Linked DNA regions of Lepisosteus oculatus. The protein of the gene in region 2 purifies or fractionates together with the protein of the main gene of each other region. This does not show direct contact. Links are inferred from orthologs where the notes say so. Each region holds a gene or a part of one and is shown on either strand. Other genes may lie near its edges.

Region 1 (7,167 bases), about 28 Mb from region 2:
TATTTCATTTGCAAGGTGCGTTCTGTGTTTTTATTGTAAGGCTTTCAGAGATGTGAAAGTACTGTTGGCTTTTCCTTGTTTGTGTGCCATCCCTCAACAGCAGAGTGCACAGAACTGGCAGCTGGCACACAACCAGGAAACATACCAAGAGATCAGTTCTGCTTTGTGGTCACACACAGTTACTTATGAGGCCTTGTTAAACATGTCATCCATTCATTCAGCTATTAATTTTTTCACAAGGACATACTGTGTCGCTATGTTTTATTTGCAATACAAATTCTTATACGTTTAGCAAGCCATTCACATATGGATGTATGGACAAGATATACCAAAACATCTGTGTCTTGTACAGAACCCAGTTTCCTGACGTGTGTGTCTGGAACAGGATGCCTAGCCATATTGTTAAAACTGTCTCTATCAGCTGTTTCAAGAAATGCTTGGATGAGATCTTGCGGTCAATTAACAACTACTAACCAAGTGAGCAAGAGGGCCAGCTGGCCTTCCCTCTCCTCTCACCAATCTGGTGGTCCCTGTGTTTCAATGTCACGGAGGTTGGCTCTGGAAAAATCCTTAGTATAATCCTTAAAGTGGTCCAAAAGAAGTATTGCTCAAAAATCTGTGCCTGTTTTAGGTTGAATATTTCAGTTTGAACAGGCAGTATCAGTGAATGTGAATGAAGTATTGGTCCTCATCTAAACACATTTCAGGAGTATTTCTGTATGCAAGTTCTACTAAACTTTGCATACTATTTGTCTTTTAGACTTCCATTCATCTGTCCAGTTTTTAACTGTTTCTTCCAGTTCAGGATTGCGAGGGAAGCTGAACCCTATCACGGCAAGGAATGGGCACAAGGCAGAGTACACCCTGGACAGGACATCAGTCCATTGCACGGTAGAAAGAAGCACACAAATTTTCAGGGCCAATTTTCCCAGAAGCTGAATGATCTACCAGTATGTTTTTGGACTGTGGGAGGAAACCGGAGCACCTGGAGGAAACCCATGCAACTCTGGGGGAGCAAACTCCACACAGATAGCAACCCAGGAATTGAACCCACAACCCCGGCGCTGTGCCACTCTGCTTCCCTTTGATACTTTTATTTTCCAAAATAAAGCAAATTTTAGTGGATTGCAGATAAAACTATTATAGGCAGGTAATTTCCATATCCAAGCCACATTAATTTATCTGGCCAAAACTTAGCAGACTAGAAAGCAGGATCCCCCTGGGGTGTGAGATTACCCCAGCAATGATGGTGTCCACTTATACAGTGGGGTGGTGCAATTAGGGGTAAAGTACCTCACTCAATTTAAAACAGTAGTGAGACCCACAATCCAGACATTTGCCTGATACACTACTGCTCCCTAATATTATCATAGAAGTTTATTTTGTGACTTGGGAAGGGTTTAATCCACTTCTTCCAGGAGGCTCTGATTTTGTATAATAAAAGGTATTTTGGAGTATTTATATTAAATTAAGAACTGTAAGTGTTGTTTATTTTTTCAGCAACTTTAATTTTCTTTTACCTCAATATTTTGTGTTAGTTGCAAGAATTTAAAAAAATTGCAAAGTACTGAGCACTGTTGCTTTTTTCAGTGGATGGAAATCATCTTTTTGTATATCAGTATCAGAATTTAGTTTATTGTCCACACAGAGTGGGATTTTTCTATTGACCTCACTGAGACAACAAATGCAGAAAACATAAAACATCTAATGCACTGGAGTTGTATACAATAAATCCCACATAAACAACAATACAATAAAAAACATATAAGATTCAAATTTGTCCATACATATAAATATACTGTAAATACTGTGCTCTGAAGGAGCTCATACATCAGAGTTTAAAAGAGTAATGACACTCTGAGCAAATGAGTTCTTAAAAATGTGTTTTTGTAGCCTTCAGGATTCTAAACTGTTGACCAGATGGTAGTTTTTCAAACCAAGAGTGTAGTGGGTGTGAGGCATCATTTACTTTTCCTGCAAACACTCTTTGTATACAAGTGGTTCATCTGGTTCCATTTCTGAACAATACTTTTGCTGCTCATATTTATAATCCTTCAGTGCCTAGCTGTACACCTGGTACCAAGAATCCCATACCAAGTAGAGATGTTAAAAGAGAGCACATTCCCTCCCAGACTTGTATAGACTATCTTTGGATGTGCTTGCTTTCATCAAAGCTCCTCAACCTTCTCAAGAGAAATAATCTCTGCATGGGTTTTTTTTAAAAAAACCATGCTCTGTGTTGTCTAAGAATTTTAGTTTGTTATCAGTGTACTGTATGTACCCAGATACTTAAAAGGAAGAATGTCCACAAGCTGACAATTTATATTTATAGGCTGAAGTGTGGCTGGCTCAAATCTGCCTAATTACAAATTGGTGTAGCACTAATTCTTTTGTTTTGCTGACATTTATTTCCAAAGTGCTTGACTGGCTCCACTTAATAAGAGTTAATACTTTGTCAAAGTAAATGGTACTGAAGAGAAATATGAAACATACTTCTCATCCCCACCTACAAGTAACACAGAAACAAACAAAAAAAACATTTGAAATACAGGCTTTTTCTGTTGGCTTTACATCTAAAATATTTTAAATATTAATATCATAATGTATTTTATTGGGATTTTTGCCACAGATTTACACAAAATACACTATAATGTCAAAGTGAATACAAAGTTCTCTCCTAACCCTCCTACATTAACTAGAAATATACAACATAAAATATCCGATTATTACATTCTGTCTATTGACATCAAATTTAAGACAGGGTATAGTCCTATAACTCATTGACTGCTGAAACACTAGCAACATACAGAACACAATGCAATAAAAATGGCCCACTCTGCTTGTAGTTGTCAATGGTTAACCTAAGTCACTGACTGAAAAATTTCAACTCAGCAATAATTCATGTGGGGAGGTGAATGAACAGCTGTTCAAGAGAACAGCAAATAGATGCTACTTTACAGTAGCATGCTTACTATCAATGTATGGTACAGTAGACGGGGCTTGACTGCAATAGTTTCTAGGTAAGTATCACCAAAAGTGAAAATTCATAAAGACAAATCATCTGAAAAACTGTGAGTCAGTCGAGTTGGTAGTGCTATGAGCCTTCTAAAAATGTATTACAATGATGGGATTAGTTTATACAGCAGAAAAGCAAAATGTCCATGGTAGCTTAAAGTACAGCAGTGCCTCCTGTGTGAAATTAAAAAATAGATAAAGCACTTAATGGCACAAAAGTAGTAAGTAGAAAAGAGGTGCACAATTATAAAAGCCTCCCTTAAACTACAATAAGCATGTGCAGGGGTGCCCCTAGCAGTCTTCCTTGGGGGTGCAGCAAAGTCTTCAGTTCTACATACTATAGATGCACCTCATCCTATCTTGTACATGTTCACATAAAGTAACCTTATCAAGCCCACGTCTCAGTATTGCACACTTCTCAAATGATACACATTTAGCAATATTAATATTGCAATTACAATGTAGCCTTTTGGAAACAGTAATAAGCCTCCTACATTTGATGCAGTACAATTAAGGTAGTACTAAATGCAGTAATGCTGTAGTGTAAATAACTGCAGGCTTACAGAACTGTCACTCTGTTGTAACTCTACAACACTACTTCAATACTGCAGTTTCTATTTTTTTTATTGTACAGTGACTTGTTTTATAGACATAGCTTATTAAAAGCAATTACATTGAAAATGGCACTAGTGAATACATATTTAGAAAATATTTAGAAAAATATCTATTCAGAAAAAAACGAATTAAAATTATTTTCTCTTGAAATTTAATGATTCAAGAAGTTGTTCTGTTAAAGATTTTCGTGCTGCACGTTGTCTTGGATAATGTCTTCCAAATACAACAACGACAGTATAGTAATAGAAAATCTTTAAGCAAAAAGGCTACCTTAAAGCTATTGACTACACGGCTGCAAAAGAAGAACCTAGCAAACTTCAGAGAAGTCGCAATCCCCTGAGAAGCAGTTATTGATGGGTCTCTCCGCGACTGGCTGGAACCAGCTGCCCGGGTTTAATGGTGTTTCCAGTAGTACAGTAGTGAAACGAGGTAGGATGAGCGCCGCCTGGCAGTTCGCACATGCTCAGTGTGTGTGCAGGCAGGCAGTGACGACACGGGCGCCATATTGAAGTGCTGATTTTTTGTCTCGGACGCTGCTTGCCAGCTTTCTGTTTCCTGTTGGATTCAGGAGGAGAAAGAGACGGAGTGAAGAGCTTCAAACATTTCACGCCACAATCATGGAAATCGACACACTTCTGGAGGCCCTGAAAGGTTGTGAAACGTAGACGTTACTGTCTTTTTCGTTCCGGCATTCGAAAAAGTGTGAATAGAAGTGGTCGGAACGGGATTAGGATTGAAGAGTAGTAAGGTGTTGAATGTGGCTGTTGTTGTGTGTGCAATTTTAGAATAAATTTAACTAAGGGCTATTTGGATACCTTATTATACACTTTAAAACAATAGTCTTCTCTCAGGGAAGTGTTTTGAATCGTTTTGGTGTAGTCTAGTTGTGTTATAATGTGCACTTTTAACCCCAAGCCGGTAACCAACGTTTGTAGCTGTTGTAAAACTACATGCTCAAATTCAAACATTTTAACTTTAATCGTGTGTTTTTCTTCATGTTGCGCCGGGAAAGTTTGAGAATTTCCTGCAGACAGCTGATCCTGATGTGGAGTTTTATTTTGCTAGTTCCTGTCAGTGGCTGTAACTTTCCTTGCAGCATACGGTTAACAGACACCTAGGCTGTGTGGGACCCAACTGATGTGGCTCTTACTTTTCCCCCTTTATCTGTCTTTATGTGTAGATTTTGAGAAGAAAGGCAAGAAGGATGTGTGTCCGACGCTGGACCAGTTTCTATGTCATGTCGCAAAGACTGGGGAGACCATGTAAGTATATTTACTGACGAACCGCACGCAAGAGGCCTAATGTGTCTCAGGAGTAGAGTAACAGACATGGTAACGACTGTCTCCCCAACGGGGATCGAGAGAACTGCAGTTTGGATATACATGTCTCATGTCTGTAGTAACCTAGACTACTGCTGGCTTACTTTGTATCCGAAATATCTGATCAAATTAGTCTTTGAAGAGGACAGCCTGCTGAGAACACCGCTATATACTTCTAAAGGGATCAGGGGAACCTCTGGTTTTAAACACCTGTTAGCAAAACAGGACCGTATAAAAGCAGATGTGTAGTTATGTGAGCAGTTAGAAATTAAACAATATATGGCACAATAGTCGTTTAATTTTGTATCTGATCCGTAGTAGGTGGGAGAAATGCTGATTCAAGTGTAGTTTTGTTACAGTCTTTGGATAAAGATATTGATCAGTGCCCTTCGATTTAAGTTTCCGTGCTTCATTTAGATGGAGGAATCCTAGCATTGTTTAATTTCTCACCTGAAGGAGAGAATATTTTATTGCTTGCAGTGATGTATTGCAATATGTAGAATATATGAAAATATGTGTTGGAAACAAGTTTTTAATGCACGTCTTAATGCAGTCTTTATTTAGAGCACTTTCCAAGTGAAAAACAACTCCTTACACTCTGCAATATTACACATTGCACCAAGCTGACCTTTTTTGTATTTTATGGTAGTGTTTTGGTTTAAGTCACGGTGTTGCACTGACTGTGACCTTTGCATTGTGTGTGCACTTTTGTTCCTCTTATTTCATTGATGCCCCTCCTTCCTAGATTTGAACAAATATATAGGACATTTTTTGCTCTTTCATCAAGAAGCTAGTATGGCTAATACACTTGATATTGTGCTTAACAAGGGATTTAAATATACATTTTCCCTTAAAACACCCCTTAATCTATCATCATGCCCAAAGTGTTTTCTTAATTCCTGAAATTGAAATTGGAAGTGAAAATAAACTTGGCTTTACAAAACTGGAATTTTAGATTTTCTATATTTTTTTTGGCCCGTTTACGAAGCTGAGGTGGATCGGTGATCTGTTCAGTGTTATTTAACAATCTGGTTGTAAACTTTACAACAGCTGAACTGGGGCATATGAGCTGTCACTTTAGACATTTTAATTGGGTCAAATTTGAAATTTGTTTATTAATCGGTGAAATAAGTTTCTGCAAAATATTTAAGCAGATTGTAGTGCTGTTACTAAGTCACTGATGATTTACACTAAGCCATGTCCATGTGTAATTATTAAACAACTGTAAGTAAAGGGAAATAAATATAAATTTTGTGTTGGTGACCCTGGTTTATTTGTTATGTAAGGCATAGTGAATTTTATGATTAAGATTGCAAAAGTAGCATATTGTGTTTTCTGAATACTTTTGAATAAAATTCAAAACCAGGCCTTAGATTGCTGTTAATTGCATCTCAACTAATTCGTGTGAATATTTAAAGCATTTTAGATGCTTCTCGTTATCTACATTTGTAAATTATGCCTTATTAAATAGTTAAAACTAGTTTAGTATGCTGTAGTTCTTTAAAGTAGACTTAAGTCACACTTAAGCAAATTAACTCAAGATTTATATTAACTTATTATTGTACCTTTGATCAAGTTTTCAGACCATTTTAGTCCTCATATTAGGATGAATGCGTTATAGTGAACAAAACTAGTGTAATGCCTTTTTTTAAATTAAACTGTATAGGCCTAATTATAGGCCTTTCAGTTAGGTTGATATAAGTAGCAGCGTAGCAGTAAAGTGAGCTGCTTACATAGTGGACTGTAGATGTATATCCATATAGGTAAAACAATATAATAAGCAGAAATCTGGCAGTCCTTTTTAAAGAAATGCAAATGGCAGTTTTTGTTAGACATTGACCGTTTTGTTTTGCAAGTCTTTGTGGAGAGTTAATTATATAGCACACTTTACACATGTTATTTTGTTTGCAATTATACATTCCTTAATATATAATTCCATGTGTTTTGATGATTTTCAAGATTTCACTCTTATAAAAATCTTGTTCATAAACAAGAAGTTTGTCTCAGAATGAATAGCAAGTCAAAATACACAGAACTGTCCTGGATTTTATTGTCTAATACAACGATGTTTGGTTCATCCAAGTGTGTTGCAAAAAACATTTTCTGACTGTACAGATGTAAAAAAAAATACACTAGGATTATTCTGAGGATTACATTGCATGTAATTGGAAGGTCCTGCCTTTGGTTTAGAATGCAGGCCATCTTGATAAATGTTCAT
Region 2 (7,755 bases):
TACAATGAACAAGCACAAAGCAATTTCCCGACATTATGACACATTATTTTTACACATTGGTCTAAACACCTTTCGGTACAGTAACGACATGTCGCTAACTCTTGCTGGACAAAAACATCAGAATTTAAAGGGATGGTGACTGAGTAAAAACCTGAATACCACTGGAACATAAGATAAGATAAGATCACTTTATTAGCCATATACAATTTCTTACATTAGGAATTCGTCTTTTTCCCCGCATAATCTGCAGGATTTGAACCGGCAACCTTCCAGCCACGGGCGCAAATCCTTAGCCACAGAGCCACCGCTCCGCCCATAGTTGCATCATACTTACCAAACTCAGTAACCTAGAATTCTCCTGTTATAAATAGTTTGGCCACTGTCCTTGATCTTTTGTATTACTACTGATTATGATGAATTAACAGTATGCATTTGCAGTTCACATGCTTGCACAACCCATTGTTGAGGTAAAACATAGGTTATCTTACACCTGCCTTGGTTCTAACTCGTCATGTGGTTACCAAAAATTGCCATGTCACAAAGCAGGAATCAAAGCAGATGTACAAGGACCTACATTACACGACAGAAAACACTTAACTACCCAGATTCCTCACTTGTGTTCAAAAAGCAAGAAGTGGCTCTGGCTTTAAGGAATGAGGTAGCACTCACTGAACTCAAAAGGCCACATGCACTATGCTTCATTCACCATCAGAAAGCAGAAGGTAGCTGTATTTTTGGACCAGCGTGTTACTGATTAACCGTACTGCACTGAAGTAAAACCATAATCGGGTCAAACAAAACAAATGTTTTCAAACTACTTTAACAAGGGTCTGAGCCTGAGGTCCAAAACATTACCTACTCATTCAACATTCTTCAAGACTCAGGTGTACAGGAAATGTCACCATGTCCACGTTTGCTCTTATTATAACCTGACATTAAACATTAAGTCAAAACTACACGCCAACTGTGAAAACTCCAGCTGAATCCAAACCACAAAACACAATGGCGTCAATTAGCTCACTTCCTGATACCAACTGCATTATAAACAGATGGAAAATTTAAGAGACAAGAAGCAACGGCTGCATGAAAAAGAAACTTCGGAAGCACCTTTCTCTTCACGGTACACCTCGGGCTCGATAAGAGATCGGCCCCTAAATGAAGGCACCGATATCAAGCTGGCTTTAAAATATCACAGTGAGAAGTTAACAAGATAACTGCAAGAAAGAATGAACGCCGGCAAGCGTGAACGGCCGGAGCAAGTATAAACTAACCTCACGGGTGGCACTGTGAAAATTACACAGCACGTTCATACATTACGCCGGATTTCGACAGCAGTCACTCTCGGCACAGGGCTGTCAACCGCCCACCAAGACACAACGTGCTGCAGTCCCCACCCAAACACGACCATGAAAGAGACATCCACATGGCAACGGGCTAACCCGCAAACTACACGTACGGTTTCCTGTGCCGGGGCATCTGAAAGTACAGACACGTAGATACACCGCCAGAAAGGAACAAGGCGTTAAAAAGTACAGAAATGTGTTTAAAAGTAGACGGCGTATAGACACGAGATGCTCTCGCACATATGCACACCTAACCGACAACCATTTTGCTGTGATTCTGTCTCTCGTAGAAACAATTATTCCGATTCCCATCACTGCCATGTCCGGCACAACTCCAGTCGGACGAAGAGAAGAATGATCCAGTAAAAAAATAAAACTTGAGCAATGACTGGCCTCGCTTTATGCCTCAATAAATGACTCGATGAACTCCTTTTGTAAAAAAAAAAAAGGTCCGGATCTGAAAGGCCACTAGGAACGGCATGCAGCGTTTTCAACCAAAATAAAGTACACCGCTTTACATAATTAGCATTTAAGCGAACATTTCTCAGCTACAAGATCCACGCTTTTATTTTAACAGTGCTCAAATCCCCGCTAAAGCACACAATGCCATGCTTATGGCGTTTCGTCTATTAACAGCAGAACAAATAAAGAGGAAACCAGGAGGCCCGACTATTTCTACTTGCCCAGGGATTTTTACTGTTTGAAGGGTCGGGGACGACAGCGCTGTGCTACACACAAGGGCAGTTCAACACGGCCGGGGCTCCACTTCGCTCAGGGATGAGACCCCTCGGATGCTCCCCTCACCCCTGTTCAAGCCCAGGCTCGGACAGCGGCGGCCTCGCTAGAGCCCCCGAGAAACACAGAAATGTCCCCTTACAGACACAGTCCGCGATTCCGTTTTTAAGTTACGGTACCGTGAACGTTGCTGTGTGATTTCTGCCTTCCAGAGAGGCTAAAAAAGGAGTATTCAGCGCGGGGGGGAGGGTCGAGAGACCAGGCCTTGAACGATACATTCTCGTGAAAAAATGGGGCGAAACAGGAGTTCACAGGCAGACAACCAAGAGTCTTACTACTCTCGTTTTAAAGATGGATACTTAACGAAGCTCGGCTGGGGATTAACGCAGTACACCCGCCGTGTGCCGCATTTTAGCGACCATGATGTGTCCGCACGCCTGATCCCCCGCACACAGCCCCGCTGCTACTCACAATGGTGACGCTGGCTTTACGCAGGTCCCGGTTCTCCTCCTGCAGCGCCTTGCACTTGAGTTTGTACGTTTCCAGCTCGATCTTCAGCACTTTGTTCTCCTGCTGCAGGGACGCCAGCCGGTTCGTCAGCTCCTCCAGACGGAACGGGGAGATGACGATGCCCGGCTTGCTGGAAGACGAGGAAGAAGTAGAAGACGGCGGGGCGGCCGAGCTGCTGCCCGCTCCATCGGTGTCGCTCTCGCTTGCGCTGTCCGCCATGTTCGCCGAGCGAGTGAGAGGGGCAGCTGCGTTTCAAGCTGGGCGGAGTGCCGGGAGAAGCCTGGAACGGCGCGCAGGGCGACCCCTCCCGCTCGTAGGTGGAACTGCGACCCCGCGCAAGAGCGACGACACAGGCGAAGAGGTACGGCGAGAGAAACTGAGCTCCTTTTCTTCGATGTTTGATGTTCTACGATTGATATTCTAATGACGAAAATGATTATGAAGATACCAGGCACTCTTATGCCCACCCCCTCAGCAGCTAATGCACATTAAATATTGAAAATGAACAGGTCAGCGAACCTTTAGGGTACTGCACCGCCGGGGCCGCACCTGTTTGCAAAAATCTGCAACGAATTTGACATTGTTAAATAGAGCTACATTATTGCCTTGTTTACGAAAAAGAATAAAACGGCAAACATGAATTGTTGTTAGTTGTTTTTTTTTCGCCTCTCCTTTAACTAAGGAATTACAATTGATTATCTGCTCCACGGAGTGTCACGCCCTAAAGACTTGTATGAATGTTATAAAAACCACGTAATAGTGGTTTAGTGCCGACTGTAAATGTGGCCTGATTTCTGAATCATGAATCCGTAACTGTGCATGCACAAAGACAGGGAAAGGAGTAGCAGGTCTCCATATTGTATCTGCCTCTCATAGCTGATCAATTGCACAGAAATGTGAAAATACCCTTGACATAAACATAACAATGTAATAAGATATAAGTCATGAGATAAATGAAACAGGTAGTCTATCAAAAAATGTACTGTATGTATAAAATGTTAAAATAGTAATAGTTTTTTTTGGATTATGTTCCATCTTATTTCAGAGACAGAAGAGCAGAGATACCTACTCAGTACAGTGTTTTTTTCATACACTAATCTTTCACAATCATCGTAATCTTTCGGTTTTTTAAAAAAACTTTTTTTTCATAATGCGTTAACTTTTTTATTTTCTTATTATTCTCATCATCTCACCACATTTTTTATTTGATATTATTTGATTGTTGATGTAAAAATGCCTTTGCTGTGATCTGTTAGAATGACCTTATGATCTTGTCAGCAGCTACCAAATTGTACTGTTCGTTGTGTTTGTATGTTACACTCACATTCCCTGTTACTGTTACTTGTTCTCTGTGTCTGTTTTTACTCCCCAAAATGGTATGTTGTAACCTGATTTACAGAAGTAACCATTCTGACTACAGAAAAGAGGCAGTGATCATTTCATACTCCTCAGTACCGGTGGTGGCATTTCCGCTGTCCTTTTAACTCTTAAGTGACGTACAAAATAAAATAATTATGTATATATAACTGATTATCTCTTGGTTATTATTATTAATAATTCAAAGGACAGAGGGAATGATTCAAACGACAGCGTGAGAACCCGCTTTATTTTTAGGCAAGAACTGTCAATTTCTATTTCATACAGGGGAGTAAAGTTTTTAATGGCGTTTATCATTCGTCTTCTAAACCAGCCTTAAAACAAATGTATGCATTTCTCTTTATGTGCAGCTCAAAGTAGATTAAATGACTGGCGCAGTCGAGAATGGATTAAGCAGGAAAATATTGTTGCAATTATTTTGTTGTGAATCGATTTGTGGACGGGAGTTCGGATCCAAAGTACCGTGCATATGCATGTTGCGCTGTATTTCAACTTCAGTGATGCTACACAAGTGGGGATCAAATAACAATATTCTATCTTTTCGAATCATGTACTGTTGGCGACAGGGCGCTGTTCTCGACGCCTGATGCATCCTCTGTAAAATCTCACTTAGTATTCAGTAGATCACTTAGTATTCACTTAGTAGTATTTAGTTAAATTTAGCTTCCGACTAAATCACAGGTCCCTTGCTGTCTATTCACAACAACATATGTTACTTTTCAGCTGAAACAGCTCTTGGACATTTAGAACTATTACCGGTTTTGCCGTCTCACATGGAATTCGGTTCGATCAAGCACTAAAACAAATGAATACGGAGAACCCCGCATGTCAGTCATAAAACTGCGTAATATTCCCTTCGGCAATGATTTCATTCGAAAGGAAAGACCCGAGCCACACAGAGGCAATATGTGTTGCAATATGCATTTTTTCCCACAATCATTTTATCACTTACCATATTTGCAAGTCGTCTTCATCATTTTGTTTTTATAATCTATGTGTTCTGTGCCAACACACAAAATAGTTGAAAATAGTGTTGGTAGACCAGTAGGTGGTGCTTTTTCCTCTGGACCAGGAATTCCAAACCCATGCTTCAGCATGGTGAAAGGGGACACTGTACAATAGGAGATGCCATCCATCAGCTCTGACATTATAGCAAGGTGCTATCTCCTTGGTCATTAAAACTTTGGTCTTGCATTATCTAGGTAATTGCTGCATTTCAGTAGTGGATGAAGTGGGTCCTTTACTGTATGTAAATCACTTTGGGATGAAACGTACTGTATAAACACAAGGAATTATTACATATTTTAGAAATGTCCCCTGTAAGCCCAACATGCTCTGGAAAAACAAACATCTTTTATTCACTGATTAACTTTATTTGGTATTTTGTTTAAAAACTGTGATAGGATTTACATTTGACCAATAATGAATACAATGCGATTATGCTGTAATGTAGTGTGTATGACATACAAAAAGAGGAGTCAGGAAAATGAATGCTATGGATGAAATTCAACAGCTCAAAGTCAATAAATGTATAACAGCATTGCTATGCTACTTATACAATACATACAATGTTTAAGAAGATCTGTATTATGTGCCTTAAAAACAATCTTTTAGCATGGGTCCATATTCACGCAATGTAGAAATATATTTTTCTTGTGAAATCACACTTCCTTTCCTACAGGACTTTGTAATAGTATGTAGTTCCTAATTTTGCAGCTGAAAAATATTTGAAGTCCAAAAATCCCATTGTAAACGAAATATAAATCAACATACTGTGGGTTTCTCAAAGTTTTTAATAGAATACTGCACAGAAATTGCAGTCCTACACAGTTCAATGTTATAGAACTATGATTTTTTCCCCCAAAAAACATAATCAAAGTGTTTAAATGCAATGTTTCAAAACAATTATTACATTAATCCATTCTTTATGTGGTTTAATTCTAAATTTTTTTGTATCTGGTGAATTAACATTTATTTGGATACATTTGATTAAATCAGTTATGTCTCCAAGCTAAATAACCTCCATCCCCATGCTTCAAAGATATAAAAAGGCAAAATACAGTGACACTAACTGTTTCATGACATATTGTTGGTCTTTTGTTGACCTATGCAGTGATTTCAGTATAATGTATCCATGTTTTTATAAACATGTTGTTATATACAAATCACAAATTTTGTAAGAGGGCTATTTTTTCAAATTAAGAGAGCCTACTCTAATCTAATCTAATGTAATACAACAGTTCTCCAAAGTAATATGCTATTAAAAAATGCTAGATATGTTATATACAGATTCTCAACTCTAAAATGAACACACAGCTTCAGGGTTTAAACACAATTTATTTTATGCTTAAATAATCAACTAGATCATCCAGTGTTTGTTGTTTGTTTCATACATATGTTATTAGAGCTACTATCAATGAATGCTTTAGGTGATTTCATATGAATAGATTCAACAAAAGGAAATATTTCACCAAAACCCAAATAAAAACGCCCTTTTTTAAACCACAGCAGCCTTAGAAACCTATTAATACACTGCTAGAATGATTACAATTAATCGGCTTACAGAAAGACTTCTACATCTTATAGCCAATACACATGATACAGGTAAATTTTACAGCGTGCCAGTCTAGCATATACATTCGGATCATTTCTCTCTCATAGTGTTTCTAGCCTAAGCCTTCAGGAGCTGCCCTTTTAGTGTAGATTTGCAAGCAGTAACCCTTCTATAAGCAGGAAAAATGAAGTCCCTCCCTCCCCTGATTCACATGTTGATGTCTCCAGGATATTTTCTTTAAAAAAACTGGCAATAGTGACAAATGTAAGGGCTATGTGTGTACACAGATAAAAGTTGTTATATACTGTTTGCAAACTTAGAAAAATCGTAATTAAAATAAGGTGAATCGCATGCATCAAAATATTAGTACTCTGAAGAAATGTTTTCACAGAACTACAGATATTCCCATTTTGAGAATTATTTAAAGTCGCGGTAGATTTAAAGAAACTTTCTTCTGGTAAAATCAAGCTAGCATTTTTTTTTCATGTACAAACATTATACCTGCTGATAATTATACAAGAATTTGTGAAGTAACACTCAAACCTTCCTTTAAAATTGGAACCATTTCAACATCGCCATTCAATTCCAATGCACTTTAAAGTTCTTTTAAGTCAGTGCCTTCACAAGATGTAGGCTACTTATTTGAGAATTTATACAGTGTAATTTATATACAGCAAAATCACTGATAATCTTGTTAAAAAGAAATGAAACAGCATTTTACACCCTGACATTATGGGTCCAAGAAAAATATAAGGCGAGTGTAGAAGGTGATTCAAAAGTGTTCCTCTGTTTTCACCTGCCGGTCAGCTTTCGTGCCATCGTTAATCACAGTAATTGCTTGCTTTGCCATTGTTGTTTTTTTATTTTCAATGACTCGCCTCAACTTAAGAAGTCTTATTGACACCATGGCACATCTTGTTTTTAATTTAACACTCCAGGTCATTGAAATAAAGTGAGTTTTCATGCTCATGCTAAATCAAAAAGTCCTCTTGCGTAATACCATGCGTTAATGTGGAAGCTGCAGACACACTTTGAATTCTGCTGATTTTTGTAGATGGTCAGCTGTGATTTCCAGTCATCTCCTCACAGGACACTAAAAAAAGTTGCACACCTGAACAGACACAACAAAAACAGATTATTAAAATCAGAAAGCATTTTTCTTTATTGCCATAGCACAATCAATACATATTACAATCCCTGTATACAGCAGGCTGTGACCAACTTAACTGGCCAGGA

The links.
Region 1: the proteins of ccdc6b (region 2) and ppp4r2b purify together in Homo sapiens (co-immunoprecipitation; 3 studies listed by BioGRID and IntAct, counting the BioPlex papers as one, with this or other methods). This does not show direct contact. The link is inferred for Lepisosteus oculatus from reciprocal best matches to the Homo sapiens genes CCDC6 and PPP4R2.

Annotation. Positions count from the first base shown.
Region 1 is NC_090699.1:51,221,164-51,228,330, forward strand, and holds the start of ppp4r2b (serine/threonine-protein phosphatase 4 regulatory subunit 2-B), read left to right. Parts: upstream 1-4,131; 5' UTR 4,132-4,247; coding exon 4,248-4,281; intron 4,282-4,810; coding exon 4,811-4,892; intron 4,893-7,167. UniProt on the Homo sapiens protein: Regulatory subunit of serine/threonine-protein phosphatase 4 (PP4). May regulate the activity of PPP4C at centrosomal microtubule organizing centers.
Region 2 is NC_090699.1:22,930,806-22,938,560, forward strand, and holds the start of ccdc6b (coiled-coil domain-containing protein 6b), read right to left. Parts: upstream 3,054-7,755; 5' UTR 2,808-3,053; coding exon 2,550-2,807; intron 1,326-2,549; exon of another isoform or gene 1,311-1,325; coding exon of another isoform or gene 1,272-1,310; intron 1-1,271.